Notamacropus eugenii: one gene and its partners. The protein of the gene in region 2 purifies or fractionates together with the protein of the main gene of each other region. This does not show direct contact. Links are inferred from orthologs where the notes say so. Each region holds a gene or a part of one and is shown on either strand. Other genes may lie near its edges.

What was found.
Region 1: the proteins of DCAF7 (region 2) and DIAPH1 purify together in Homo sapiens (affinity purification with mass spectrometry; 5 studies listed by BioGRID and IntAct, counting the BioPlex papers as one, with this or other methods). This does not show direct contact. The link is inferred for Notamacropus eugenii from reciprocal best matches to the Homo sapiens genes DCAF7 and DIAPH1.
Region 3: the proteins of DCAF7 (region 2) and CSNK2B purify together in Homo sapiens (affinity purification with mass spectrometry; 4 studies listed by BioGRID and IntAct, with this or other methods). This does not show direct contact. The link is inferred for Notamacropus eugenii from reciprocal best matches to the Homo sapiens genes DCAF7 and CSNK2B.
Region 4: the proteins of DCAF7 (region 2) and ZNF703 purify together in Homo sapiens (co-immunoprecipitation; 5 studies listed by BioGRID and IntAct, counting the BioPlex papers as one, with this or other methods). This does not show direct contact. The link is inferred for Notamacropus eugenii from reciprocal best matches to the Homo sapiens genes DCAF7 and ZNF703.

What each region holds. Positions count from the first base shown.
Region 1 is NC_092872.1:368,992,948-369,000,301, forward strand, and holds the start of DIAPH1 (protein diaphanous homolog 1), read right to left. Parts: upstream 3,044-7,354; 5' UTR 2,806-3,043; coding exon 2,692-2,805; intron 1-2,691. Other genes in the region: HDAC3 (histone deacetylase 3), read right to left, coding at 4,247-4,316, 4,729-4,886, 5,304-5,383, 5,706-5,764, 5,883-5,972, 6,516-6,580, 6,792-6,865, 7,041-7,121 and 1 more. UniProt on the Homo sapiens protein: Actin nucleation and elongation factor required for the assembly of F-actin structures, such as actin cables and stress fibers. Binds to the barbed end of the actin filament and slows down actin polymerization and depolymerization.
Region 2 is NC_092873.1:344,148,642-344,156,462, forward strand, and holds the start of DCAF7 (DDB1- and CUL4-associated factor 7), read right to left. Parts: upstream 3,034-7,821; 5' UTR 2,700-3,033; coding exon 2,562-2,699; intron 1-2,561. UniProt on the Homo sapiens protein: Involved in craniofacial development. Acts upstream of the EDN1 pathway and is required for formation of the upper jaw equivalent, the palatoquadrate. The activity required for EDN1 pathway function differs between the first and second arches.
Region 3 is NC_092873.1:85,320,475-85,327,429, forward strand, and holds the start of CSNK2B (casein kinase II subunit beta), read left to right. Parts: upstream 1-3,919; 5' UTR 3,920-3,960; coding exon 3,961-4,048; intron 4,049-4,086; exon of another isoform or gene 4,087-4,196; coding exon of another isoform or gene 4,197-4,245; intron 4,246-6,677; exon of another isoform or gene 6,678-6,955. Other genes in the region: GPANK1 (G patch domain and ankyrin repeat-containing protein 1), read right to left, coding at 994-1,438, 2,704-3,311. UniProt on the Homo sapiens protein: Regulatory subunit of casein kinase II/CK2.
Region 4 is NC_092872.1:623,326,756-623,333,619, forward strand, and holds the start of ZNF703 (zinc finger protein 703), read right to left. Parts: upstream 3,021-6,864; 5' UTR 875-3,020; coding exon 611-874; intron 1-610. UniProt on the Homo sapiens protein: Transcriptional corepressor which does not bind directly to DNA and may regulate transcription through recruitment of histone deacetylases to gene promoters. Regulates cell adhesion, migration and proliferation.

The DNA of each region.
Region 1 (7,354 bases), on a different chromosome or scaffold from region 2:
AAATCAGTAGGTCTAGTTGGAATTCAGGAGAGGGAAGACAAACTCAATGCAAAGTAACACAAAGGGTTTGAAGAAACTGAACTAAATTCCAAATTAGGGGCCCAGGAACTTTAGACTCAGAAAGAAAGATTAACCTAGTCTAAGAGAGGTTAAACACCTAACCTAAAGAAACTCAGGTGACACTGTAGTAACAAACAGGGAATATTTTTTGAGCCAGTAAGAAATTTTCTTCAACTATTAAGCCACATGCTCTGGGTGAAGAAATAATAGCCAGCATAAACACAGGCAATTAGTGGCCTGGAATAATGAGGCTAATTATAAAGATCAATTGTTAACAGGCCTAGGGGGTGTCTAGTTTAACCATAGATAGGCAGAAAGAGAAGGATCACCACTTTACAGCCCCCTATAACAACCACCACCATTTTACACAAATGCTTTCCTCTAAACATCTGTCACTTAAGCGGTAAACATATTATTGCCCTGTTTTACTGATGAGGAAAGTGAGGCAAGGGGAGGTTTGGTGACCTGCCTATAATAACAATTAATAGTTAGCACTCAAACCCAATCACTCCAAATCTATTCCTCTTTCCATTATGCCAGCTACACAAGTAATTCCTGTGTAGTACTGCATTTCTCAACACCCTTGGTTAAAAAGTAGTATATCCTTCCAATTCATCATTTTATCAGCTTTCTTGCCAAGTTTGTGAGGAAATTACTTTGATTGTTTGGGGGAATTAAGAGAGAGAAGGTAAGGAAAAAGAAAGCTATAAGCAATTTATTCAATGAGAAGGAAAGATTGTAAGAGGATTACCATCTTGAAGTGAATACATGGTTGCCAACTAGTAAGGAGCTATTAAAATCTTGTACTCAACTTGCTCTCTTTAAGGAGCTATGAACAACGTGTCCTGTATATTTCCAAATTGTTAAGAAAATAAATATCCCCTGGGACAGGGGTCAAGTTCAGTCCTTTGACTGAATCCAAACTTCACTGAACAAATCTCCTTAGTAAGAGGATATGTCCAGTAAAACTTGGACTCAGTCAAAAGGCTGAACCCAAGGAACTAGAAGGCTACATAAAGCCTCAAGGCCGCAGGTTCCCCACCGCTGCCTCAAGAGAAAGGAGGATTTAGTATGGGGCCAAGGTATAGACATCATAATAAAACATGCTAAGTAAGGGGTTACATGGAAATGACTTTTTCTTCAGAGTGGGGTTGAAGTACTTCTCACAGAAAGAGAGTTGCCAAAAAAGACAGAGTAAGGCTATCAGCAGCACTGAAGAGGATGAGGAGGTAGGAGAGAGGTTGCAATGATGGTTATAATAGAAAATGTATAAAACACAATCACATTGTTCACAAAACTTCTTGGACTTGCAATTTTATTTTCCTCTCCACTTGTGAAGGGAGAGTTACTATTACTCTAGGGCAAGAAGCCAAAGAGTTCACCCCCAAGGAAGTAATGATAGGGCAAAGGAAAAACACTAAGAGGGAAAAAATATTGGAAGACAGAGTAATAATGTGACTGAAGGGCATGTGTAATTGGGCAGGAGTTTATTTCTTTAAATGCAAGGACAAATTTCTGAGAGGTCACATGTCAGGTAACATTCCTGAGAGGGAGCCATTATCAAATGACACTAGACTGAGAGCCTAAAAGATTTTATTGGATGGAAAGTTAACAAGTGAAAAGACTAAATCATAGATCAGGAAATGGGGAGGGGGGCGGGGGCGGGGTAATAACAGAAAACCCAGAGAGACTTAGAAAATGAACCTAGGAAAGTACCTGGAGAAAGGGGGTTGGGCCAAGGAAGAAGGAACATTTATGTTAACAGAAAGAAAAAAAGAAGAAGGAAGTTGAGGAGTGACTGATAGAAGGTAAGAACTAAAAGGTGAGTGAGCAAAAGGGAACTAGTTCAATAAGGGTTATGGGAGAAAAGATCTGAAAGGAGGAAGGTTAAGCGAACATTGGGAAAAAACAGCGACAGCAACGGCAGCAAAGGAAGACACACAGGAGCTGGGAAGTTGGCTACCTGAAGGCTCCCAAGGTGGGGGAGAGAAGGTTACAAGGCTGATGGAAAAGGACTCATTACCATGTATGCAGTAACTCAAGGGGTCCGGGGGCTGGGGGAGGGGGGAAGTGCACAGAAGGAATTAAGGGGAGCCAGGTGAGGGTGGGTGCGGAGAAGCGGCTGAAAGGATCCAGGGCTGGCTGGGCTGGGAGGACGGGAGGAAAGGTACCTGAGAGGCCAGGTGGCGGAGGGGGACCAGGTTTAGGGGGAGAGAGAAAGAGGGAAAACCAGGTCTGATGTGTCTGGAGAGATAGGGATAAAGGTGGCTGGAGGGCAGAGAAGGGATTAGGGGAAGCGGAGGGAGGGCCGGGGGGGTCTGAGGCAGTGGCGGGGGATCAAATCGAGGAGAGGGGCCAGGTGTGCACGGCGGGCGGTTTGAGGGAGGGGGGCTAGAAGGGCCCCCAGGACCGAGTCCGATGCAGGGTGCTGAGGAGTAAGCGGAGGGGTAGGAGGGTGGTTAGGGCTTGGGGAAGCCGGGGCCGGGAGGGACAGTGGCAAGGGGTGAGCCGGGCAGCGGGAAGGGCACCCTGCAGGTTGGCAGGCGGCGGGGGCGGGGGCGGCTCCCCGGCCGTTGGTCCGAGGGGACCGTGATGGGGCTGAAGCCACGGGTGGGTGGGTGGGACACTCACGAATTTCTTGGATTTGCCGCCGTCGCCGGCCGCGGGCGGCTCCTCCGGGCTCCGGCCCTTCTTCTTGTCCCGGGTGCCGCGGCCCGGCCCCAGGCCCCCTCCGGGAGGCTCCATGTCTCAGGCTAACACGCTGCCCCCCGCCGCCTGCTCCCTCCGCTCCGCTCCGCTCGGTGCGCGCCCGCCTGCCGCCCGCTGCCTCCTCGCCGACCGCCCGCGCGCCGCCGCCCAGCGCCTCTCAGGCCCCCGCCTTCCCCGAGCTCATTAGTATGCCGAGTTGCGCGCGCCTCATGAATATCTAGTAGAGCCGACCCAGAGCTCCGAGCCTGCACACTTCCGTGCGGTGCCTACCAACAGTGCGTGGACCTGGGGGGGTGACGATCGTTTCAACGCTCTACCTGCCCGATGGGCTCAACCACTACGCCCAATTTAGTGGGGAGGGAGTTGAGGGGTCTAGAACCAGGAACAGCGCCATCTGCCGGGCCTCCGACAGAAGCACAGACTCTGGTTCTTCGCGTCCCTGCACTGGGGTGGCTGTCGTACCTAGACGTCACGGAGTACACGGGAAATCAGCCTTCTGCCAGGGGAGTGAGGCCTTTGGAACAGGGGATATTAATGGTGCTTTCCCAACCCCACCTTTAGCAAGATCATCCCGGACGGGTGGTAGGCTAACCCATCCACAGAGCAGGCTCCCTGCGTCTTGTCACAAACCCAACCTCGGGGAAACCCCAACGGCATCATTGGTGTTAGCCTCAGACAGCCCAGGCCCACTCTCTTGAGCTAATGAAGTATGGCAGTCCTGGGAAAGGCCCAAGGATTCAGTGAAAAAAAGTAGAAAACAAACACCAGATCTATCACCCCTGGATACAATGACATCTACCCTCAACTCCCCTCCCACCCCCACATTCCCAATAAGATGCACCTAAAAGACATATCAAATTCACAGGAAGAAGGCAGTAGATAAGAAAAATACTGACTCAATTTATTGGATAAAAACAATGGTAAAATGGACATAAAATATGAAAAGGCAGGACACAAAACCCCTCTCCACTCGTTCCTTCCCCAATCAAAAGGGACTGATAACAAATGCCAACCCTCCCCTGGTCCCTTTCCACTCCCAAATTAAAGTGTACATCAGACTGGGCACAGTATGGCTGGGAATAAAAAGGTACCTTTAGTATCATCCACCCCTCAGTTCCGAAAATATCTTTGTCAAGAGGAGACGGGTCTGACAACAGGGGCAAGCTAGGAGACTGGCCCCCAGGGATATGTGACCTCTCTGACCTGTCTAGGGGAGCTGACCTTGTAGCCCCAAGTCAGAGCTAGGACTGTCTCCCATCCACCTGTCCAACAATTACCACCTCTGGCTTGAGAGGAAGAAGACTGGAGTAAGGGTAAGTAGGTTCTGAGACCAGTAGCAGTCTTTGGACTCTTCCCCACAGAGTGGAAAGCAAAGGCCCAGGGATAGAAAAAGTCACTCGAGGGAAGGTCACTGTCCTTGCCACCTGCCCAGCCTTGAAGTGGGAGGTAATTCTGTGGAGCAGAGTCTCTCCAAGCTTCAAATCTCTACATCACTTTCCTTATCGTTGTCATGGTCTCCATCATAGAACTCATTGGGAGCCTCTGGCCTGGGAAGTTGGGAGAGAGATCAGTGCTATTAATCAACAAGCATTTATTAAACACTTAGCCAGGGAAGAGAAAGCAGAAGAAAAAGGGAAAGGGACAGGAAGCAAACAAAAGGTGATAGGAGTAGGCTCCAATGCCTAGATTCCCAACTCCTCTGTCTCTAGCCACCTTCTGGCTTTTCACCAGCAATATTCTCCTTGGAGCCCTTCCACCAAGTCTATTGTAGCCTTTTGTACTTCCCACAAAATATATGTCATGGTTCCCCAAATATTCCTCTCTCCTCTTCCTTAATACCAAGAAGAAGAGAAAAGAAAAAAGCCACCCTGCTATTGCTGCACTCCAATTCTCAGCAAAATAGCCTGCCATTGTCTTTCTTAAGGCTCTCTCAATGGCTATTCTCTCCTTACCCCATACCTGGTATAGTTTTCCTCAGGGCCCCTTTCCTCAGCATCAGCTTCATCAGTTCGGTCATAGGTGAGCAGATCAGACGGCACATCATGGATCTGGACACTGGGTGCGTGATTCAACATCTTCAAATTCTCAAAGATCGTCTGCCGGATCTGGTCAAGGTACTAGCCAGAACAAGAAGGAAGGTATAAGGGGACATAAGCTATTTCTCATCCATTCCCAAAGTTACTATTCCCACCCTCACTCAGAAGTACAAATTCCACAAAAGTCTTTTCTAGTCAGGGACAGACCTGTTGAGCACTCTTTCTTACAGTCTTTGACTATCCTGATTTCTACCTTAGCAACTTAGGTTTCATTACCAGGACTGGCCTGGAATTTCCTTCCCTAGGTTGTTTCCCTCAGTTCCTTGGCCTGTACCCTCAGGCCAAACCCTTCTGATCCTGTGCCACCCCCAACAATCACTCCCCAATCAAGCCAATGGGAAGTAAATCCACCATACCCCAAGTCTACACACTCACTTCTTTGTCCCCACTTCCACCCCCACCCCGCAACAGCCATTCCCATTTCTCTGGGCCACTGACCTGGCGTGAATTCTGGTTTTCAATTCGTGTGCTGACATCTGGATGCAGTGTGAAGTCTGGGGCAAAGTACTCAAAATATTCTTTGTTTGGGGAGAGGAAGATAAACAGATCAGAGCCGCAGGGCAAAGAGTGAGAAAAGTTCAGCACTGGCTGGGAATCAGGGTTCCTGGGTCTCATTTCTATCTAACTTAGACTCTATAGGAAGAAGGGCCAGGACTTTGGTCCCCCTGCAATTCAGTGATTCAGTATCAGAAAAAAAGAGTTAGTAACAATACTAGAAAAGAACTCAACTCTGCCTACTGAAAAATATCAAATTATTCTTCCATCCCCACCCCAGGTCATCCTAGGGTCCCAAGGAAATATATTTGTAAAAGATGGGGTGGGGTAGAAAGAGTATCTCACCACTATATGGTAGCTCTTCACTGATAGCTTCTTCTACCAACAGTGATGTCTCATATGTCCTGAAACAAAGGGAAGGAAAGAACTGAATGAGAAGGCTCTAGGGCCCACCTAGGCAACCCTCAATGAACCCAGGATACTCATAGGAGAGAGGACAGATAGATGAGGGGCTGAACTCACCAGCATCGGGCAACATTCCGAACAGTGTAGCCACCACCACCCAGTACCAGCAATGGGATGTTAAAGCTCTTGACATATTCAACACACTCCCTGTTGAGGACCAGGAAATGTCAACAGCTGAATTATCCATCCCTTTTCCATCTTCACAGTCACTTTTGCCTTAGATCTCTCAACATCCAAGGGCCCCCACCACTTCCAATCAAACCAAAAATCCAAGTTGTTTGTGACATTTTCTTCTTATAACCCATGGCTACATAAGAAGAGTGAAGGATAGTTAATGGACAGAGCATGTATTCCACTGGCCACCAGGCAATGGAAGAATTTGAGGAAAGCCCCTAACACTGCTGGATGGACTCCCTATGAGGAATTTATGAAAGTACATGAAGAAGAGCCCCACACAATGAGCAGGCATAGATGAGTTTCAATTTCTATCACTGAAGGGAATTCCTGCATTAATGAGATCACAGATCCATTGGTTCTGTGTATATCCCCCTCTTAGTTCTTTTGTCTCCACAAGAAAAGGCCAGGACTCTGGCCCTATATCTACAAGTATATAAATTTAAGGCACTTCTGCCAAACCCCAAGATGTTTCTGAAGGGTGTCCAGGATGGTATGGAAAGAAAAGAGTCTTACCCATGACCTCGGATGCTAAGGTTGAAGCAGCCTAACCGATCACAACCCAGGGAATCAGCTCCACACTGCAAAGAGCAAAATACCAGGCAGCTGCGGTGAGATAACTGACTGGGACACATAAGTGATCATCTACCCTATACTTCTCCCCCCAAATTCAGAACTGCCAACCTCCCTGCCAAGTTCCACAGAGGCCAGGGCTAACTCTCCCTCCCAATTCAACTTGCCCCACTCCCCACCCCCCCACCCCCACATTGGGCCATTCAAACTGCTTGCTACCTGTAACACAATGCATGTTGGTTGGTAAAAATCCACCACTTGATTGATGACAGGCTGGAAGAGATGCTTGTAACCTGAAGTGGTAAGAGGTAGACAGCTAGCACCCCAAGGAGAAGGACTGGACTTGGACACAGGGAAAGTAGGAAAGGAAGTTCAGGGAACCTGCCACCCAGGTACAGGGTACAAGAAAACAGTCAGTAGACAGTGAAGAAAAATAATATGAAATTAGGCAAAGAGGTAGTCCTTTACTCTGGTCATCGATGCCATCCCGCAGGGGCACATTGAGACAGTAGTAGCGTCCACTTTCTGCTCCAACTTCATACATATCACCTGGAAAGATGGATGGGGGTAACTTGCTGGGAAAAAACTACAAATGTGAATTTTTTTACTTCAGACATAGACTCTGTGCTCCCAACAACTATCCAACCTGTTCTGTTCCCTTTCTAAAGGTACTTAATCATCCCTGACCTACCATTTCCTCAATCCATCCTCCCCTCCTACCCCCCTACCCTTCCCTGCCAAATATCTCTACCTGTGCCAGGGAAGAAGTAATTGCCATATTT
Region 2 (7,821 bases):
TGAAGTTAAATTTTGATGGCCAGAAGCTGCCCAGTTAATTTGGGGTTTACTAGCTAGATGTCTTTCTTTTTCTCCGCTCTCTCTCTTTTTTTCTTTCTTGTCTTTCTTTAAACCCAGGGCACTCTGAACACTGAACAACAACGGGTCCCTGCCCAAGCTCCATTCAATGGCTGTTTTCTGGACCCTCCTGCCTTAGAGTGAATGTCAATAGTAACTGTTACTCTTTGAAACAACAACCCTGTGGGTCCTGATTTATTTAATTTTTCTTTTTTATTTAAAGTGGCCACATCCCAACTACTTCTTAAAAGAGGCCTATTCACTGAAAGAGCACCACCTCACTCTAAGTGAGTACCTGAAAAGACCTCAGCCTATGAGGCCAAGGTCTCCCACTGCATTCTGAACTGTCTCCATTCATCCTAAAGAATATCTGATCACTGGATACAGATGGCACAGGAGGGGAAAGCGAGGCTGGTGACCTTGCACAGCCCTCCCTCATTCAAAACAAAATCAAATGCATGTCATGTCATCATTTCTCTGATGTCATAGTCCTCTTCAAAAAGTGAGCACAATCACAGACTGTTAAGGTATAAAGCCTAAGGCAAAAGGAAGAGTAACTTTAATCAGCAAATAATAGCTAGTTTGGGGCTGAAGATTCTGGTTCTACCACAAGGCCTCAGTTTCTCCATCTGTTAAATAAGGGATTATATTAAATTATTTAAAGTTTCTTCATAGGCTAACATTCAATAATTTTAAATCCCCCCAAAAGGGGTGTGGGTAATTAGCTAGAAGTTTCACAAGTGAAGAGTCTTGAATATCTTCATAGAATAGAAATACTGAATTCTGCTTCTGCCAGTTGAACTGGAAGGGAATTCATTAAGTAGCACTAAAGTGAAAAAGACTACTTGTGCAATAGCCATAGAATAGAAACCAATGGAATCAACAAGAGTAAGAGATGAATGTCTTACCAACGACGGCTAATATCACATTGACTCTGTGTTTTGTGATTTCCATTACACAAACACTAAGAGTCAAACAGGCACAAAAGACACAAAGTCCAAACAAAACAATCAATCCCTGCTCTCATGAAGCTTACTTTCTATGGAAGGGATTCAACATGTACACTGACCAAATTTCACGAAGGGAAAGGAGTCTGAAATAAGGCTGGAAACAACCTCTATTAGAGCCACACTGTGAAGAACCCGAATGCCAGGCTGAGGGAAGGCCTCTTCTACCTGAGCCACAACAACTGAGGATTCACTGAAGGTTTTAACGAAGGCAGTGCTTTGGGAAGGTGATGTTGGCAGTTGTCTGGAAGAAGGACTGGAGGAAAGACTGGAAGCAGGGAGAACAATCAGAATTCTATTACACTAGCCCAGGCAAGAGGTGATCAGGGTCTGAACTAGGCTGGCAGCCTTATGAGTGGAAATGAGAAAAATGAAAGTGATGATGTGGAGATGAAATCCACAAAGGCGGCTGGATGGGAGAAACCAAGTCTGCCTCAGAGGTTAAGTTACAAACGTGGTGTGACTAGATTCACAGTGCTGCCTTCAAGAGAAAAAGGGAAGCATGGAGAAAAAGCAGTCTAAAATAATAAGGTAAACAAATCAAAAAATAAGTTTTAGTGCAATTTTAAATTAACTGTGTGCACGTGCGTATGGCTGATAACTGTCTCTTGCCCAGCGACTATCGGTGTACAGCAGCACTTTTCTTCGACCTGTGATTTCACTGGGGCAGAGAACTGTTGTCGAAACAAACTCCCTCCACTGACGCTACTGTGGCATCCAGCCTTCGAGCAGCTGGGGCAGGGAGAGGTTCAGACCCCTGCCCGAGCTCATGAAGCTCCCTCCGCAGATGCTGCTCTAATGCTCTAACGCCTTTCCGAGCCATGTGGGACACTGAAAGATTAGGCGACCTGCCCTTGACCACACGGCTGTATGCCAGCAATGGAATACCGTTTTTCCAGTGTCCCTCTACCCACTGGGCCAAGCGGCCCCTCTGCCCCTTCGCATGGCACTCATTAAGAGTCTGTGGCGACAAAGGTTCACCTCCCTGAGGCTCCTCTTCTAGGAAGAGGTTGAGGAGGGAGCCCCTAGTGACATCAAGAGCAGAGGAAGCCAGAGAGGGAATAAGAGGCCTTTACACAAAGCGAGCAATTTTAGTCTTGTTTGAACCGCAAAATAAGGGGATACTGCAAGTATCACACACACACCTCCCCCCCCCCCGGTTTACAGCAGGTGGGGGACTCAGTACAGAGGCGGGAAACTGAGGAAGCAAGGAAAGGAAAACTAAGAAGGAGAAGAAATCTCAGGGAAGAGAGGGGTCGCGAAGACAACCAAACAGTTAGTCTTTAAATCTCGAACACTCCACCCCCCCCCCCGCCCACTTCCCAGTCATCTACCCCAGGGGACGCCCGGGGAAGGCCCAGGGAAGGGGGGGGGGGGGGGGGGCAGAAACAGGTTCATCCCCGCAGGGGAGCGAGGATCAAGGGGAGGGGCCAGCGCCGGTCAGTTCCCTCCCCTCCCCCAACCCCGGGGTCTCGCGCCGCCGGGCCCCGCCCCCACCTTGTTGTTGTACTCCTCCACAAAACTGCCCAGCGCCAGGCGGAAGCGCTTGTCGGGCCGCACGCTCCAGTTCATGGCGTAGACGGTCCATGGTGCCTCATACTTGTAGATCTCCTTCCGCTTTCCGTGCAGGGACATGGCGGCGGCAGCAGGGCCGCCCTCCGGACCCGAAAAGCCGGAGCGGAGGACAGAGGCCGGGCCGGACCCAGCCGAGAGACTCGAGGGGGAGGTCTGGGGTGGGGGGCGGGGTAGGGATGGGGGTCGGGAGGTGGGACGGGAGGGAGGAGGGTGGGGTCAGCAGGGACCGGTGGAGGGGGGGAGGGGGAGAGCCCCGCAGCTACAGACAACGGCTCTGGTGCCCGACCCCCAGTTTCAAACCTGAGGCACTGACCACAACCACCTTCCGTTTGGGACGCTCCCCCGCCCTCAAGGAGCGGAAACCACGCGACCCTATAACAGCAGTAGCCGTTGGCGGTCTCCCACGTCGGTTAGAACGACCCTTTGCTTCTATTGGCTGTTAGTCCCATCGTTTCCAAGATCCTTCTTCCTATTGGCTGTGCTCTATGTCATTCCACCGAGTCTCTCTCCGCCTCCTTGGGGGAGGGGAAAACAGAGTTTTCATAACCCTGAAAAGCCGTTGGCTGGTCGCGATGTCAATCGAAGAGATCCCCTAGTCTTCCAGGCTGGACTTGAAGGGGGGTGGGGTCGGAGGCGGATGGACCAGCGCTCTCGAGACTGGCTAGTGCTGGTGCCGTTTAGATCTTGAGGCTCTAGCGTTCCCAGAGACCTGTGCCCGGGAGAGGGGGCTCTAAGGGACTCTGACCTTGTGTCTCCCTACCAGTGGGCTGCAGGTCCTGATAGGGAGTCACCGGCAGTGTACCACGTGGAGCCCATATCTCTATCACTTTTGTCTCACGCACCCTGCCTCCTCTTTTAGGGCATTCGTGCCCCCCACCTCCGCCCCGCCCCCCGCCATTCCCTTTTATTCCCTTTTTGCATAGCATTTCCCAACCCTCGAAGACGTCCTTTTTCCGTGAGCGTGACAGGTCAGCCTTGTGTGATCTAGAAATGGTTGGAGTAGTAGCTTTATTAGACCATATCCATCATCTGAAAAATAAGGGATAGATTAAATAATTGGTATGTGAACTCTGCCCATCAAATAGTACTTACAAGCTGTCAGTAATTCACAGTTTCACAGAATGTAAGCTCAGGGAGGTTAACTTGCCTCTCTACAGCCACACAGCTAACAGGTGTCCAGGTCTCTGTCTCTTCTTCTGTAAAATCGAGGTGGGGGCGGCGGCACGGAAATAAGTATCCATTTAGCACTAGCTACGTGCCTGACTCGGTGCTTAGCGATTGACAAAAGTGAGGCCATTGCAAGGTACGGGTTATCCTCGTTTTACGATTGAAACTGACTTGCCCAAGATCACGCAGTGTTGGAGACTTCATTCTAACCGCCTTCTTGACTGCCAGCCCAATCCACTTTGCCAACTAGTTTGGTTTTGGGTTTTATTTTGGTTGGGGGAGAAGAACCACCAAGAGGAAGGGGAGGGGCAAGATCAAGCTTTCTTAACCCGGGGTCCGGGACCTTTTTTCTTGAGATTTTGATAGAATTATTTTGTAATGCTCTTTACGCATTTAAAAGAATTTGTCTGAGAAGGAATCCCTAGTCTTCACCAGGCTGTCAAAGGTGACCGTGCACAAAACACATTAAGAACCGCATGGGCTTGTCTCCAAAGGTCTCTCTAGCTCTGTCTTGTGACCTATGACCTTTAAATTTAACAAATGATTCCTGGAAATGACAACACCTTTTGTCCTGAATCTATTTATTTGACTAAGAGACTTGGGGTGGGTTAACATGGGCATTGATTCAGAGTGTTAGAAGCCAATGCTAATCAAGACCAATTAAAATAGAAGAAAAGTACCTAGGAAAGGATGTGCTTAATAGCACTTATTAACTGAGATTATGAGCAAGCTACTTACCCTCCTTGAACCAGAGGTAATTCTCTGAGGTTGTAAGTTATTGAGAGTTTAGAATTGCCATTGATGGGAGGCTTCCCATACCAATGAATTCACACATCTCTCAATCTATTGACCTTTTCTGTATAAAGATGAGAAAGACTGGAATTGTGTGCACTTGCTTAACTTTAGTTGAAACGAGATGATACAGAAATATCTTGCCTCCTTTATTTTAAAATGAAATTTTCATTATGAACTTGATAGCCATCAAATACCATCATTTCCATTTACAAATGACAAAAAACGATTGCATATGACACTGAATCTATCATGTAAAGCTTGTCATTTTTCAAGTGTACCTCTACTTTAGCAATGGTAGTATTAAAACTGCCCTTGTGGTTTGGGTCCTCTTTTGAATTTCTTTCTGTGTATTTTATATATTTTTTTGAAGTTTTTCTTCCTTCCTTTCTAACTTCCTTCCTTTCTTCCTGTCCTTTTTTCCTTCTTTCCTTCTTGCCTCAACATACCCCCATTATCTCCCCCACAAAAAGCTATCCTTTGTAATAAATGAATATAGCCAATAAAAGTGGTATTGGTCCTGCCTGAAAATGCCTTATTTTGTACAGTACATATATATAGTCCATCATCTGTCTACCAGAAAGTGGAACACATGCTTCATTAGCAATTTTCTGGAATAAGATTAGTCCCTGCATTATCAGAATTCTTGTCTTTTAAAATTATCGTCCTGTACACTGTTATAGTTTTCAGTTATTAAGACTGTATGAGCATAATAGCCAAACTAGGATTTACTTTAAAACTTGAGTTTGTTTCTTCACTAAACCTCAGCAAAAGCACCGCAAAACAAAAGGAAAAATTTCTAAAGTGTGATATTTTCCATTCTACCTACACCTCTTTTCCCATTAGAAATCATTCATCTCTTCATATAACAAAAGCCTTGGGCTCTTAGGTTTACATCAGAGTTACTAGGCACACGATCTACTAACAGGACAATAAATAATAATATGGATATAAATGATTATATTAGTTTAGCTCTTGGAAAGATAGCAGCAGTCACCTCTAAGAACTCAGCAGATCTTGCTTCATACCTTGTGAATAAACGTGGGGCTACTTGTCTGCATTGCCCCTTGCCATCATGTCTTCCCTATCCCCTCCTGTCTTCTCCAGCAGATTGCCCCCACTATCATCCCCTCCCTCTCTCTAATCTTAATAACACTTGGCTACTTCCCTGCTGCTCATATTCCTCTAGTATCCTCATTCTCGAAAAACCCTCACTAGACCCTACCATTCCCTTAAGCTATCACCATTTTTTATATATCCTCCCTTCCACAACCAAACTCTTTGAAAAAGTTATCTACACTGTCTATTTGCTCTTCTCTCACAGGCTGGTCAAACCTTTCCTGATTAGTTCCCTACTTCATCATTCAACAGAAATCCTTCATTCCAAAGTTACCAAGGATCTTAATTGCCAAATCCAACAGCTGCTTCTCTATCCTTACTCTTTGTGCCTTTGTGTAGCATTTGACTCTATAGGACAACCGTTTCCTCCTGGACATTCTCCCCTCTCCGTGTTTCTGTGACATTTTTGTTGTTCTCTTACCTACATGACCTGAAAGGGTCTTTTTCAGTAGCCTCTTTTAGAGCCTGTTTCACGTCATGCCCCCTAACTCTGGAGATAACCCACATAACTGTCCTGGACCCTATTTTCTTTTTTTCTACTCTTAAAAAACTAATCTATGGAATAAACCAAGCATTTCTATAATGTAACATAATAAAAAATCTTGCACATGAAACTGCAGATCTATTTAGTACAACTTGCTATACTTTTTAAATATAATAAACTTATGTAAATTTCTTTTTCTCTATATTCTTTCACTTGGTGACTTCATCTACTCCCACAGATCTAATGTTTTTAGATAAATTTTTATTGCTATCTTTTGTTTTTATGTTATCTACATTTCCCACTGTATCTCTCCGTCCCTCACACCCTTACCATCTGATTATTGAGAGCCATACCCTATAATAAAGAAGAAAAAAAAAGGAAAAAATTCAGCAAAACTAACCAACATTTCAAAAAAGTTTAACATTATAAAATGTTACACACTACATAGAAGGTTTAATTGTCATCTCTATCCTACTCTCTCTTCTGAACTACAGTCTTATGTTGCATCACCAACTGCCTGTTGGCCATTTCATAATGGACGTCCTCTGGTCATCTCAAACTGAACATGTCCATAACTGAACTAATTTCTCCCTAAACCCATCTGTCTCCTGAACTTCCCTGTCTCTGTCAAAGGCACCATCATCCATCCTCCCACTATATCAGTTAATTAACCTTGGTGTTGCCCTTGACTGGTCCCACTTATCCCATTTATCCAATAAGCTGCCAAATGTCATTTCTTTCTCCACAATACTCTACAGCCTAGCCAAACTGCCCTTCTTATAGATACATGGTATATCATCTCCCTTCTCCATGTTTTTATCTGGATTGCACTCCTTCCTCATCTCAGTCTGTTGAAATTCCTGGTTTCCTTCAAGACCTATCTCACACTTCAATTTCAGCACAAAGCTATTCTTGGTCATCCTAATTCTTAGTGCCTTCTCCCACAGGGTTACATCTTACCAGATTTGAATATACCTATAAATTTGCATGTTGTCCCCTATCCCATTCCCACTTTTAGAATGCAAACTTCTTTAATAAAAGGGACTATTACACTTTTGCTTTTGTATCTTCAGCATCTAACACAGTGCCTGGCATATAGTAGGCACTTAATGAATGCTTATTGATTGATTGATTTCCTGTTTCTCTGCCAGTATTGAAGGAAACCTAATGTGTGTGGGGGAAGGGGAAGGTGAGGGAGTTGAGGAAGGAGAGAAGTCCCCAAAAGAGAAAATTCTGCAGGACCCTCATCCCTACACAAAATTCACATTTTCCTAATCTCCTAGTCTTTGGAAAGAGTGTGTGAATTAAATTATTTTGTGTCATCTTAATTTTAGTACCTTTGGGACAGAGCTCCAGTTGCCCCTACCCTAGTTACAGTACTGACATTTGTGCATTCCTTTGCCCAGGACTCTGTGATATGACTGCCCAGAATATGAATCTATTACTACCTATCTAAGCCTATTCTTCCTTCCACACTCTTAGGTTTTGTTTTTTTTTAAGGTGATCACAAGTGATATGATTGTGGGTCTGAGTAAGTGACTAACCTGGACAACCCACAGCTATATCACACATACAACCCAGTATGAATTTTGATGGATTTATTAGCTGGCTGAATGTCAC
Region 3 (6,955 bases), about 260 Mb from region 2:
ACATGAAATTCATAAAGATAAAAGAAATTGGTATCAATTCAATTCCAAATGCATTTAAGCCTGCTTAGTTGGTGCTGTGCCAGGTGCTTAGAGCACAAAGATAAAAATAAACCAGTCCTTGCCCTTAATGCACTTCTATTCTACTGAGGGGAATTTGTATATGTAAGAAGATAGAACATATTTTGTCTGAGGATGAAGAAAAGTGCCGATAGAGAAAAATCAAAAAAGATCTCTCATAGGAGCTGGCACTTGAGATTGAAATGTTTCAGGTATGGGGAACTGCCTATGCAAAGGCATAGAGGCTGGAGATGTTACACATGAGGAGTATCAAACAGTTCACTTTGGCTGAGGGGGGTGAGAAGTAATGTGAAATCAGTCTAGAAAGAATGATGGGTTCAAGATAGATTGGAAAAGGCTTAAATGCCAAAAGAGTTTGTATTTTGCCCTGTAGACAATTAAAGAACTACTTAGTACAGTTCTTAGAACACAGTAGGCACTTAAAATGTTTATAAATTACTTAAGGTTCATTGGCCTCTCTGGTCCCACTTTCCCCTTCTGTGAAAATGAATGGGTTGAATGAGATCATCTCAAGTCTTTTCTAGCTCTAAATTTTATCACTCTACAACACATAGCCAAAACGGTGGAAGATAACTCAGTATGAGTTTACTGCTGCCCCTTCCCCATCCCAGTTCCAAATTCCACCCTCTCTCAAAACTGTCCTACTCCCCTCCAAAGCAGGAAAACATCACAAAACAAAACAAAAAAGATATGTTTATTTCTCAACTTTAAGCAAGGATGAATCAACCTTTGCAATCTCCCTCCAGCAAAGGCTAAAATCAAACTAAACAAAATCCAAGATTTCAAGTCTAGGAAGACCCAAGGGACTAAAATTCCAAGTTCAGGGTCAGATGTCAGCAGTAAGATCCTTGGGGGTAGGTAGTCACAGGTCTCCAAAGAGTCTATGATCAGAGATCATAGTTTATATAGTCAGGATCAGAGATCAAGGTTCATGTAAGTCCGTAGATTCCGTTCCCAAGCTCGACTCCTCTCCTCTCGATGTCTCTCTTCTCTCTTGCCCAAAGTGGCAGCTCGAGGTGCTCTTTTTTTTTCAGCCACAGCACGAAGGTCCCCAGCAGGAAAATGTGTGACTCGGGGTTGAGAAGTTGGCCTATATCCCAAACCTTCCTGGTCTCTCTTGAGGATTGTAGGAATGGGAGCAGTGCGCCCCTCTCCCCGGGGTCCCAGTCCCAATCCAGGCTCCCAACCCCCCTTCACTAACAATCGAAAGCCAGGGCTAGAGGCAGGGACTCCTGGAGGCAAGGGGGGTGGCTGAGGCCCATGGGACAGGGATAGGAGGTGAGCAGTAGAGCTGTTGTGATTAGTGTCTCGGTAATGGGAACTACAAGTCTCACAGTATTTTGGCAATGGAGAGCAGGGCCTGGAAAAAAAAAAAGGTAGAAAAGAGTGAAGGTGGGCGTCTTTTCAAGGTCCAGTTCAGTTGCTTCCTCTTCTATGAAGCCTGATACACAACTGCTCATGTTTCTTCCTCTAATTTTCCTAAAGCACTCTGGAGCTCTTTTGTGCCTTTTACTCAACCTAGTAAAACACTTATGCAAGAACTACAATAAACTTAAAGTTGGAAGGAGATTTAGAAGTTATCTAGTCCAACCCCACTCTCTAGTTAACAAATGAGGAACTGAGGCCCAGACAGACAGACTTCCCCCAGTCAGAGGTAGTAAGACAGAGCATCGTATCAGTCCCTGGTAGGCTGTAAGCTCTTCCAGGGAATCTGTGTAGTTTTGCATGTTCAACTTCCAGCATACACAGCGCCTTAGATTTTACTGGCATTGAATAAGTCTTCAAAGACTGTATTACTTTACTGGACAGGAGGCTCAAGGTTGGCTCAGCTCTGGAGTTGAAAAGGGTGACCACACCTTATTAATCCATACTCCTCGGGTATACTTTCTCACCAGTCCTTAGAAACCAGGGCCTTGCTACCATAGAGAACAATCTCAAGGATCCCCAGGTGGAAAGGAGGCTAGGTATTATTGGCCACCGACTCCTTAATGGGGTGGGGTAGGACAGTGTAATAGTGAAGATGACGATAGCTAACATTTGCAAAGTTGACCATGTGCCTGGCACTGTGCTCTAAATCCTTTACAGCTATTACCTCATCTGATCCTCCCAAGAACCTAGGTTAGCAGTAGATGGGGGAAGAGGCTGAGGAGCATCCTCAGATCTGACCCATGGGCTGTCACCTCCAAACTTAAAATCCTATTTGGTAAATAAAGTCCTTGGACAAGGGAGCCCTCGAGTCCCTTTCTAGGTTTCCTACACCGCACTCACCCCCACACCGAGATCCAGTGATAATGCCCACCTTGCCTTCCTCTCACAAGACAATCTTCCAGACCATGGGCTTTCTTTCTGGCCGTGCCCCAGGCCTGGAATGCTCTCCCTCCTCCTCTCCACTTCATGGCTTCAAGTCCCAGATAAAACCTCACTTTCTACAGGCTTTTATCCACCTCCCTTAATGCTAGCGCCTTATCTCTTTCTTATTAATTCCAGCATGAAGCTGTTTGCATGGCTTTCGCCCTTAGCCAGTAAGCTCCAGGCTCGCAGGGAAGGTCACCGAACTTTCTTGGTGACTCGGACCCTTCCCCGTCAGCTGCTAGACTGGGACGGTGGCAGGGGGCTGCCACTCACCGGCTTTGGGGCCTCTCCTCTCCACCGCTCTCTCGGACCATCCGGGCCACCTCGGGGAAGCCGGCCTCTTCGGCCAGCTGGGCAGCATCGCGCCCCCCGGGCTCACAGACGCCCACCCAGGCGGCTCCTCGCGCCAGGAGGTAGCGCACTGCCGGTCCCTGGCCCGCCCGGGCTGCACACATCAGCGGGGTCCACCAGAAAGCGTCCCGGGCGTTGACGTTGACATGGGCCCCGCGGGCCCCCGGGCCTCGGGGCTCCAACAGGGCGCGCAGCTGCCGCACGTCCCCGGCCTGCGCAGCCCGCAGGAGCCGCGCGGTCTGTCGCTCCCGGGTCCCATCGCTCTCGGCGCGGGCCGCAGCCGCTCCCGCCGCGGCCCCGGCCCTCTCCAGCCTAGTTTTCTGCGTCCGTTTTCTGCCTTTGGGGGGCGCCCGCGAGGGTGCCGGGGGCCCTCTGAGGGCGTCTCCCTCCACCCCGACCAGGGCTTCATAGAAGTTCCGGGCGGCTGCACCGTCCAGGGGGAGCTCCGACTCCGGCTGCTGCCGCCCGTCCTTCCAGTGGTCACTCGAGTCCCGGGCCGGGGTGAAGGCGATAAGGGCGGGGCGGGTCATGACTGCTGGGGTGGGGGAACATCAAGCCAGCCGCCCTCAGGAGCAGTTACCGGGCCAGCGTGGAGCGAACGCCAAGTGGGTCATCCTAAAGCTAACCCAGTAAAGGGCGGCAAAGCCCCCCACCGAGACTTGTAAGCGACCGGCAACCAGGAAGTAAGTTCAATGATTACAGGCCTCCTCTCTGGATCCCACCTCTAACTCCCTACGCTCGGTACTCGACTTCAAGTCCCAGTAGCAACCAGCGCCAGGCTGAGACACGGCGCCGGCGCAGAAAACACTCCGGAAGTAGATCACTGAGAAGAGAGTGCGCCTGCGTCAAACTACAGTCTCAGTCTGGAACCAAAGGAACACTTGAAGCGTGCCGCCTTGACAGCACCCGTAAAATAACCTGGCGAGATGGAGGACTGGAGGCCGGAGCGATGCGGAGGTGGTTAAAAAGAGGCAGATAGACACACAGACACATACACACACACGGGATTCTGCGCCCGCGTTCTGTTTATTTTGCTCCTTTTCTCCGCTCCTTAGCCGCCGGTTTGATTCGAATTGCTCGGTAGCTCGAGGCAGGCGCGTGCTCAGAGGCGCGAAGGCCCCCGTGGGGGAAGGGAGGGGCACCGGCCGTTAGGGTTCTTCGTTTGCATAACGCCCCACAATGTGCTTCGTTCCTCTCAGAGTGGCCCCCGAAGCCCATTTCCTGGGGCCAGAGACGGGGTTTCGGTGGAGTCAGCTGCCCAAGGAAGGTGGGCACAGGCCTGCAGGGTGCAGCCAAGTCTAAACGCGAATTAGGGCCAGGCTGCCTCTCACTCTTAGTGCAACCAGCATTTGAGGGCTAGACAAAGAGCCCTGTGCTGCTGCAGGCCAGCCTAGCCCCTAGGAGTGGAGGAGGAGATGGAGAAGGGCAAGGGGACAACTAACAGGATGGCTGGTGCCACCTCAGGTTAGCGGCCCCCTCCCATGACAAGCCCTTTACCCCGGAGGCTGGGGTTAAACCCTTTCACTCCCTAGTACCACCCCACCTCCATTCTCTGGAGAGAAGGGGCAAAAAAGAAACCTGGTCATCCAGTGCTCTGGAGGAGGGTGGACATGAGGACCTGTTTGGTAGAGCTGGCGCAGGGGCTAACTTGGTATGGGGTGATTTGTGGAGAGGTGGGAATAGAGATAGATGGTAAGGGTTAATTGGCAACTTGGAGGAAGAAATAAAAGATAGGGGTAATGAAGGTTGGATAAAGGGAGAGAGGAAGATGAACTATGATGAAGGAAGATGGGATGAAGGAACGCCTTCATACTTTACTGAGAAAATAGAAGCTATCCTTCATGAACTGTTCTTACCTATTCTATAAACCAACCCTCTCAATTATCCCCCATTTTCTTCTTATAAGAAGGCACCCCTTCTCCTTGTCAGTCCTCTCTCAACTTGTACCCCTTCATCTTATCTCTTCCCAGAGCTTGCCCCTCTCTCCTCTTATCCACTGACTCCTTCCCTCTTATCTACAAACATGCTCAAGCCTTCCCCATCCTTGCCTAAACCCTCACTAGCACACCCTCAAACTATCATCCTACATGTATCCTTTTCACAGCCCAACTCCATACCTCTCCCACTACCACAACCAAAACGGGTTTCTCCAAGGTTATTAATAATTTCATTATAAATTATTAATTTTCTTTAAATTATAAATCAAATGGCCTTTTCTCATTCCTCATCTTTTCAGTTTTTGAAACTGTTCATCACCCCCTCTTCCTAAATACTTGCTCTCAACTTAGCTTTTATCACACTACACTCTCCTGGTTTTCAAGCCTGAAGGACCATTCCTCAGTCTCCCTTGCTGGAACATCATAGGTATTCAAACCACTAAGCATGGGTGTTCCCCCTGAGGCTCTGTCTTGGGTCCCCTTCTTTTCTTTCTTTACAGTATTTCTTTATATCAGTTCCCAAAGATTCAATTATCATCTGTATACAGATATCTCTCAAATCTACATATCTAGCCCTAATCTCTCTCCCAGATTTCAAGTTCCAGATCAGTTAGTTCCACAAACACTTGTTAAGCATCTACAGTGTACCAGGCACTGTACTAGGCATTTGGATACAAAGACAAAAACACTGATGAATAAAGTCTATTGACTGGCTGCTGGATATTTCCACCTGGATCTCCAACTCAGCGTATCCAAAATAGAACTCATTTCCCACCATGCAATCAGCACTCATCATGCCTAGCCAGGACTATTGTAATAGCCTCCAAGTTGCTCTTTCTGTTTCCAATGTGTTCCCTTTCCAATCTATCTTTAACATAGAAGCAAAAAAATCTTGCTAAAACACAGATCTGAACAAGGCACTCCCCTAATCAAGAAAGTTCTGTGGCTTACTTTTGCCTCTAAGATAAAAGACAAATTCTTCAATTTAGCTTTTAAAGTCACAATCTAGCTCCAGTTTAGTTCCCCAGATTTATTTCACACTACTCTCCTTCATCCACTCTTGTGTTATAGGCAAACTGACCTATTTACTTTTCTCTGAATTTGGCATTCCATCTCCTGCTTCTGTGATGTGCTGTGCCTTTAAAGATTAAGAATAAACTGAGAAGCATTATGATACATACTCTACCTGTGAGATATGTAGGGGAAAGACTTTCCAACCTCACTTAGGAAAATGTACAGGAAAAATGTGTCTCATCTCTGGAATGTACTCCATCACTTTCATATCTTAGAATTCTTTGAAGGTTCAACTCAGATGCCAACTCCTGCAGGAAGCCTTTCCTAATCCTCCTAGATTTCAGTTTTCTCTCAAATTATCTTGTATTTATGTATATGTACCTCATTGCGGGGTCGAAAAATACCCACATCAATGAGATTGCACAGATCAACTTGGAATACTGGAATACATGTATTCTCCAGTAGTGTTTTTCATAGTGTCTTTTGTAATCCCACACCCATCAGTGCTTTGAATATATAACAGGCGTTTATATAAAAGTTTGTTAAAGTACTGGATGATGAAAAATGATTGAGGAGAATGGGATGATGAAGGCTAGTTAGGGGGATGAGGATTGTGAGAAAAGGGGAGATGACTGGAAATAAGGGTGAGGGATGACAGATAGATGACTGGGGAAGTATGCAGTACATTTAGTATAAACTGAAGAGCTAGACCGTTATTGTAGATACCTTACCTGTGAGACGTATAGGAGAAAGACGGTCCAATTCCAATTTAATCCCAATCTTGTTCGGCTCGCTGATGTGTAGGAGAAAGACTCTCCAAACCTTACCTAGTCTGGGTGTTGCTCTCTGTGGGCACGAGGACTACATTTCCCATGTTCACCAGCGCTAACCTCGATCTCGGGCTCCTGTTTCCAGCATCTTAGAGGAGAGCCTCCAGTCCTTCCTCCTTTGTGGCCCCGCCCCCTGCCCTATTTCACTGAGAGGACAGGGGCAAGGGTGTCTTCCGGAAGTCGTATTATTAGCCCAGCCTTACTACTGTTCAGGGACTCCATATCCCGTCTTCCACGGGGGGAGCCTGACCTCCTGCGCCTGCGCTCTGTGTACTTTCCCGCCCTCCCGTTTCTCTTCCCCCTTCCCCTCCCCCCTACCCCCCCACCGCTTCGCCTGCCGCGGTCGGGTCCGCGGCCTTCGCTGCGCGGCTTTGCTGCTGCCGCCGCCGCCCC
Region 4 (6,864 bases), on a different chromosome or scaffold from region 2:
GGAGGATAGCATTCCCAGCCAAGGCCGGCTAGTGCACCCACTGCAGCGCCCCAGGGGAGGGCGCCCCAAGAACAGAGTGGAGAGGATTTTTAGCGTTTCGGACGCAGCCCCCAGAGTGGACTAGACGGGACTTGAAGGCGGAGAGGTGTTTATGGAGGGGGAAAGGGAGGGCGGCGGTAGTGGGGTCAGAACAGCACTTAAGCGTCTTTGGAGTAGGGGTGAGAGGTGGGGCGGTGTGGGGGTGGGAGGAACTGAGCCCATCACAAGATCGCCTCTAGGACCCCAGAATCTGGGCCCGGCTCTGGCCAGGGAGAGAGTGAAAGAGAAACAGGGAGCAAAGAAACTGGGCAGGAAAACCTGCTGCTGGGAGGGATAAGCCCCGAGGTGTGAGCCGTGCTCCTGTATCAATCACTGGCCCGAACCCTCACCCCCACCATCGGTCCACAAGAGTGACTCGGTTCTGCTAAGCGGAGCTCCGAGGTCCCAGGGCATAAGGATAAGGAGCTGGGTGAATGAGGCGGCTGTTTCAGGCAAGACCTGGGAGGAATAGGTCGTGAGGAGTAGGGGTGGCGGGGGGGCGGGGGGGGCGGTGCGCGGAGCAGAGACTGACCTCGATGGGGCTGACTGGAGTGGAGGAAAGCGGCTGCAGGTATTCCGGGTGCAAGAGGTGGCCGGTGTGCGCGCTCAGCATCTTCAGTACCCTGATGGGGAGTCGGTTCGCCTGCCGCAGGGGGTCCGCCGGAGGCAGGAGGGACACCGCCGCCGGGACCGCTGGTCTCTTCCCTCCGCCGCCGCTCTGACTGCTGCCGCCGCCGCTGCCGCTGCTGCTGCTTTCCGGTGTCCTTGGGTTAGATCCAGCGGGCGAATCGCTCATTTGGAGGAGGCAGCGCCACGGGCGGGGACGGGGGGGCGGGGAGGGGGAGCACCGGGGAGGCGAGCTCCCGGGGCGGGCGGGCTCGCTCCGCAGTGCCGAGCGGGGTGCAGCGGCCAACCGCTCCTCCTGCACCTCCCCTCCTCCGCTGCCGCCGCCGCCGCCGCCGCCGCCGCCGCCGCCACCGCCGCCGCTGGCCCGGGCGAAGAACACAAAAACCTTCCCCTTCCCCTAGCCACACGTCAAATAGCCGCGATCGGCAGCCACACTTCAAAGGGAGAGCCGCGCCCGCCCAATCGCTGCTCTCCCAGGGACCCCGGGGCGGGGAGAGCGGGCAGGCGGGGGGCGGCCTCGCCGGGTGGGAGGGGAGATCCTTAAAGGAGCCCCGCGCCGTCTCCCCCGACGCCTCAGCTTCCCGGATTCCGCGGTGGCTCCCCCTTCCCCCCCACTCCCCAGCCCTTCACCTACCCTCTCCCCGCTGGGCGTCCCTTGCTTCGGGGGTCTCTATAAGCACCAGGGCGCCTCTAGGAGTCAGGAGAAAAGCGGATTTCTGCTGCTGCTTGCTTCGTGCCTCTGGGTTCTCACCCGTTCCCCTCTTTCCGCAGCGGGAATGTCATGCGGGTCCAAAGAGGTTCCGGGGGGCAGCTGCGCCCCAAGTTGGGGGGGGCTCCCTAACAGGTCCCCAGCCTCTCTCGGATGCTGACTCCAAAGCGCCCAGGGTCAGCCGGAGAGGGGGCCGCGGTGCCCTCCGCTGGGGGCGCGTTGCTGGTCCACGTCTTCGTTCGGAGCCGAGCTGGGAGTGTTAGCTCGCTCGGCAGCGGAGGGAAGAGAGCGAGAGCGAGAGCGCTGCGCCCTGGACTCGGAGGCACCTCCTGGCCCCTGGCGGCGGTGCGGAGCGGTCAGCTTGAAGTCCTCTCTAATGATCTGTCAGGTCCCAAGCAGGCAAGTTAGGGAGAGGACCCACGCTGGGGTGATGTCATCGCCGCGGCATTACCTCTCCTGCCCAGCTCAGGCTTCTACCCGTGGGTAATGCTCGCCTCCCTCGTTCTCCCTTGCCCTGGCCTGCCTGGTGCTCTGTAAGCGAGCGCTGATTTATTGCTCGGATATTTCAAGTGTTTCGTGTTTCCTTTCATGTCCTCTCTAGAGGCAGAAAATTCTTTCCCTCACTATCACGCCTGGCGGCTGTTGGCTGCTGCTTATGGAGTTCCAAGCACTGGTGAGACCCGAATCCCAGGGAAAAGCTTTCTCACCAGCTGGGGCTGGGCACCCTCTCCTACTCTCCTCTTTCCTTCCACAGTTATAGAGACTTGAGTTTATATATATGTAGGTATGTGTGTAAACACTTTCCCCCGTTATGTATGTCCGTATGCATGTGCTTTTTTAAAATATGAAGTAAGCATATGGAAATTTTGGAACTGTGTGGAAAGAGCCCTCTGTGGGGTCAGAAGACCTACGTTCAAATCCTTCTCTGATCCACTACTTATGTGACTAGGGACAAATCACTTCACTTAGGCCCCGATAACTTCTGGGAACCAGCTACCACATATGTAGAGTTGGAGGTTCCTCCTTGAACTACGATCCTATATGTATATATATATATAACCACAGAGAACCCGTAAGATCACTAAGATGGAGAAATGCTTTCCTATTGTGCAGACAGCATTCACCACAGTCATTCGCTTTAGTTTTTATGTTTTTGACACCCGGCTGGATCTCCTAGCCTGATATATCATTTCTACAAATCAAGGCTTTAGTTTTAGAGTTTTCTTTTGGAGGGGGGGGGCGGGGCTTGTTGCTTGGTCAGGGTATTTTGAATTAGGGTTACTGGAGAAGAGAGATGTAACAGAGAGGAGTATTGTCAAGATACAGTTCTTAGGACCACCCCTCTAAACTCCAGGCACAGAGATACCTTTTCTTGGTCCTTCCTTCAGCCACTGGAGGGAAGGTTCTATCACATGCTTACCCCAAGTACTGCTGCTCCATCAGCCATCATCAGGCACTTCATTAGAAAAAAAATTCTGAACTTAAGAAATAAAACAAGCTTTTCCATAACACAGTAGAATAAAAAAAAGAGATGATTGTACAGGAAATTGCAAATCTGTTATTTACAACTTGCCATTGCTTTTAAATATATAATAAAGTTATCATGTAACTTGCTGTTTTTCTTTTTTTTCTTTCCTCTCTCTTTCCCCTTCCCCCACACCATTTCCTCCCACAACTGTCACTTTGGATGTACAGTATTTCGTGACGGGTCCCAGTCCAACCCCAAATATACCCTTCTGTAGGACTTAGTTCACATGGATTCAGCCTAAACAATCAAGATATATTTCTGAAATCATAGAATTTTAGAGCTAGGAGGAATTTAAAGAGTCTTTAATAAAGATCACTTAGTTCTACATATAAGACAATAGGGAGGGAATGAAATATTTTTCAATTAATCAGTTAAGTATTTATGAAACACTTGCTATGTGCCAGGTACTAAGGATACAAGTACAAAAGAATGAAACAATCACTAATTGAAATAAACTTTCATTATAAAGGAGGAAGACAATAAGTACATGCAATAAGTACATGTATTTGTATTAAGACTTTTGGGATACCCTGTATAAAATTTACAGCATAAATAGAAATATAGGTATATTTCTATTTATAAATACCAGTATCAGTATACTGCTTACAAATGTACACACAGAGGGGCAGCTAGGTGGTGAAGTGGTAGAGTACTGAGCCTGGAGTCAGGAAGACTCAGTTCAAATTTAGCCTCAGACACTTCCTAGCTGTGTGACCCTGGGTAAGTCATTTAACCCTGTTTGCCTCAGTTCCCAAAATGAGCTGGAGAAGGAAATGGCAAACCACTCCAGTATCTTTGCCAAGAAAATCCCTCAAATGGGGTCATGAAGAGTCTGACAGGACTGAATAAAAATTGAACAACAACATATGTAGTAGTTAAATAAAAGGTGGTCTGGGAGGTAGACCTCTGTCGGTTGAGGGGTTCAGGAAAGAAGCTTGGTTAATGCATAGTTAGCACAAAAGCATGGAGAAGGGAGATAGCCACTTTGGCCAAATCTCAGAATGTGGGAGTGAGAGTCATGTCCAGCGAGAATGGAAAGATAGTTTGATGCCAGGTTTTATAGGGCTTAAAAGTTAAAGAGAGGCGTTTCAATTTGATCCTATAGGCAATAGAAAAGTCACTGACGGTTGGGTAAAGGAGTCACGTGGTCAGATCTGCACATAAGGAAAATTATTTTGCCAGCAGTCTGGAGGATTGGAGTGGGGGGAGACTTGAGGCAAGGAGACTAATTTTTAAAATTAATTAATTTTTAAATTTATGGAATAAAACAAGCATTTACATAACATAGTATAATAAGAAAGATTGCACACAAAACTGCAAATCTATTATGCACAATTTGCTACTTCTTTTAAATATATAATAAAGTTATCATGTAAATTTCTTTTTTCTCCCCCCTTTTTTCTTTCCCCCCTTTCAATTAGGGGGCTGCTTCAATAATCTAAGTGAGAGGTGATGAGGGACTGAATTAGAGTGCTAAAGAGATATTGTGAAGGCAGAAAAGGGTAGATCTGGCAGTTGTTTGAATGTGTAGAGTGAGAAGTTGAGGATAATGCTGAGACTATAAATCTGAGGTTTGTGGTGCCTTTGATAGAAAGGGAAATTTGAAAGAAGGGAGAGTTTACAGGGAAAGATAATGAGGTGAATTTTAGATATGTGGAATTTAAGATGTCTTTGGAGTTTTAAAATGTTTCATAATGGGACTGAAGCTCTGGAGGGGAAGACTGAGGCTGGATATACAGATCCATGAGTCATCTGCACAGAGATGCTAGTTATACTCATTTGAGCTCATGATGTTCCTAAGAGAGAGTAGACTGATAAGAATAGAAAGTCCAGGGCAGAACTTCAGGGAACATATACGGGGAATGATATGGATGATGAGCCAGCCAAGGAGTTGAGAAGAAACCAGGCCATAAAAATCCAGAGAGGAAAGAGTATCCAAGAGGAATGGTTGGTCAGCAATGTCAAATACGATGGACAGGTTGAGAAAGACTGAAAAAGTCCAAGAGATTTAGCCATTAAGGGATCATTGATAACTTTAGGAGAGCAGTCTTAGTTGAATAATGAGGTCAAAAGCCAGATTGCAAATGGTTAAAGAGTGAGTGAAAGGTAAAGAAACAGAGACAGCAAATGGAGACAACTTTTTTTTTTTTTTTGCCTGAGATTGTGAGAAGAGATACAGAAGATAGCTTGAGGGTATGTTTGAAGGGATTAGGGAGGGAAATCAGCTAAGAGGAAGCTGTGGAAGCTTTAAGAGATCTGCAATCTGCTGGAGAAAACTGGAGGGGCTGGGATCAAATATACATATATAGGGATTGGACAAAGAAAGGCTTGGACTCTTAGAGTCTGGGGGAAATGAGGTCAAGGATTTTGGAAAAGGAAAGAAGGAGGAAAGAAGAGAGCTCGCTTTGAATGGCCTCAATTATTTTTCCATTAAAGTAAGAAAAGAGAAAGGGGAGAGGAAGAGAAGTGAGGAGGGGTTTGAAGAGGAAAGGGAAAATTTGAATTTTTTTTAAAATAGGGAATGAGGTAGGGATTCCATTAGGGAGGAATAAAAGGACTGCCTTACTTCAGTGAGGGCCTAGTTGGATTGGATGATATGATTTTATAATATAGTTGATCAACAGGATTGTGAGACTTTCTCTTATAAAAATTATTTGTATGAAATGAAATTCAATTCAATAAAAATTATTTGTATTAAATGAAATTCAATTCAATGGCCATTTATTAAAGATACTAGGATAAGCCCTGGGGAATTTGAAGATAAAAAGAGAGAACAATCCCTGTCTGCTAGGAGCTTACTTTCTACTAAAGGATAAACTTAGGATCATAGATATAGAGCTACCTGGGACCTTAGAGGTCTCCAACCTCTTATTTTACAAATGAGGTATTTTACAAGCACAAAAGTGAGTTTACATAGATAGAAAAGATAAGAGCCAGGATTTGAACTTAGATCCTCTCTCTAAACCCAGAACTTTTCCCACTAGATCACCCTATTTGGTGAGTAGAAGCTCCAGGTAGGAGATTGCACCTGAGCTGAGCCATGAAGTAAATTAAAGGTTTCAAGACATAAAGGTGATGAGGGCGTATATTCCAGGACTCAAAGGCAAAAGGGATGAGGTAGGAGATGGAAAGGCAAGTTCAGGGAGCAACAAGTAGCCCAGCCTGACCAGAATGCAGAATAATGTGAATGAAGTAGGTCTGGAAGACTAGAGTGTAGACAACTATGAAGGGCTTTCAATACCAACCTAAAGGTTACATTTTATCCTTGATGCAATAGAAAGCTATCTTAAGCAGAGGAAGGTAATGTTTTCATTGGATTAGAAGGGGGAGAGATTGGAAGCAGAGAGATTAATTAGGAAATTATTGCAGTAATTCAGGTAAGAAGTTATGAGGGCTTGATGTAAGGTCATGATTATGTGAGTGGAGAGAAAAGAACGAGTATGAATTAAGTCATGGAAGGAGAGCCAAAAAGATTTGGCAACCGATTGAATATAGAGGATGAGGGTGAGGGAGAATAAAGAGTGGAGGCTGATCCTGAAGTTGGCAACCTGGGTGACTGCAAGAAGGTGGTGACTTCAGTGGAAAGAGAGAAGTTTGGGGTGGGGCAATGGATATGATGAATTTGAAATATCTATGAGACATCTGAATAGAGACCTCTATTAGACAGTTGATACTACGGAGTTTAGAAGAAAGTCTAGGGCAGAGTACATGTCTCTAAGAGAGATAGTAAGTAAACCCATGGGACCTAATGAGCTAAACAAGAAAACAGGGTCTGAAGAGAGAAGTCTAACTGCCACATTCTAGATATACCGCGCTGCTATAAAACATATAGGTACAAGGATTGGGAGGTTATGAAACGTCTTCTTATAGGCTGTCACGTCTGGTAACTGGGATCATTTCCAGGAGTGCCTGATTTAACTAC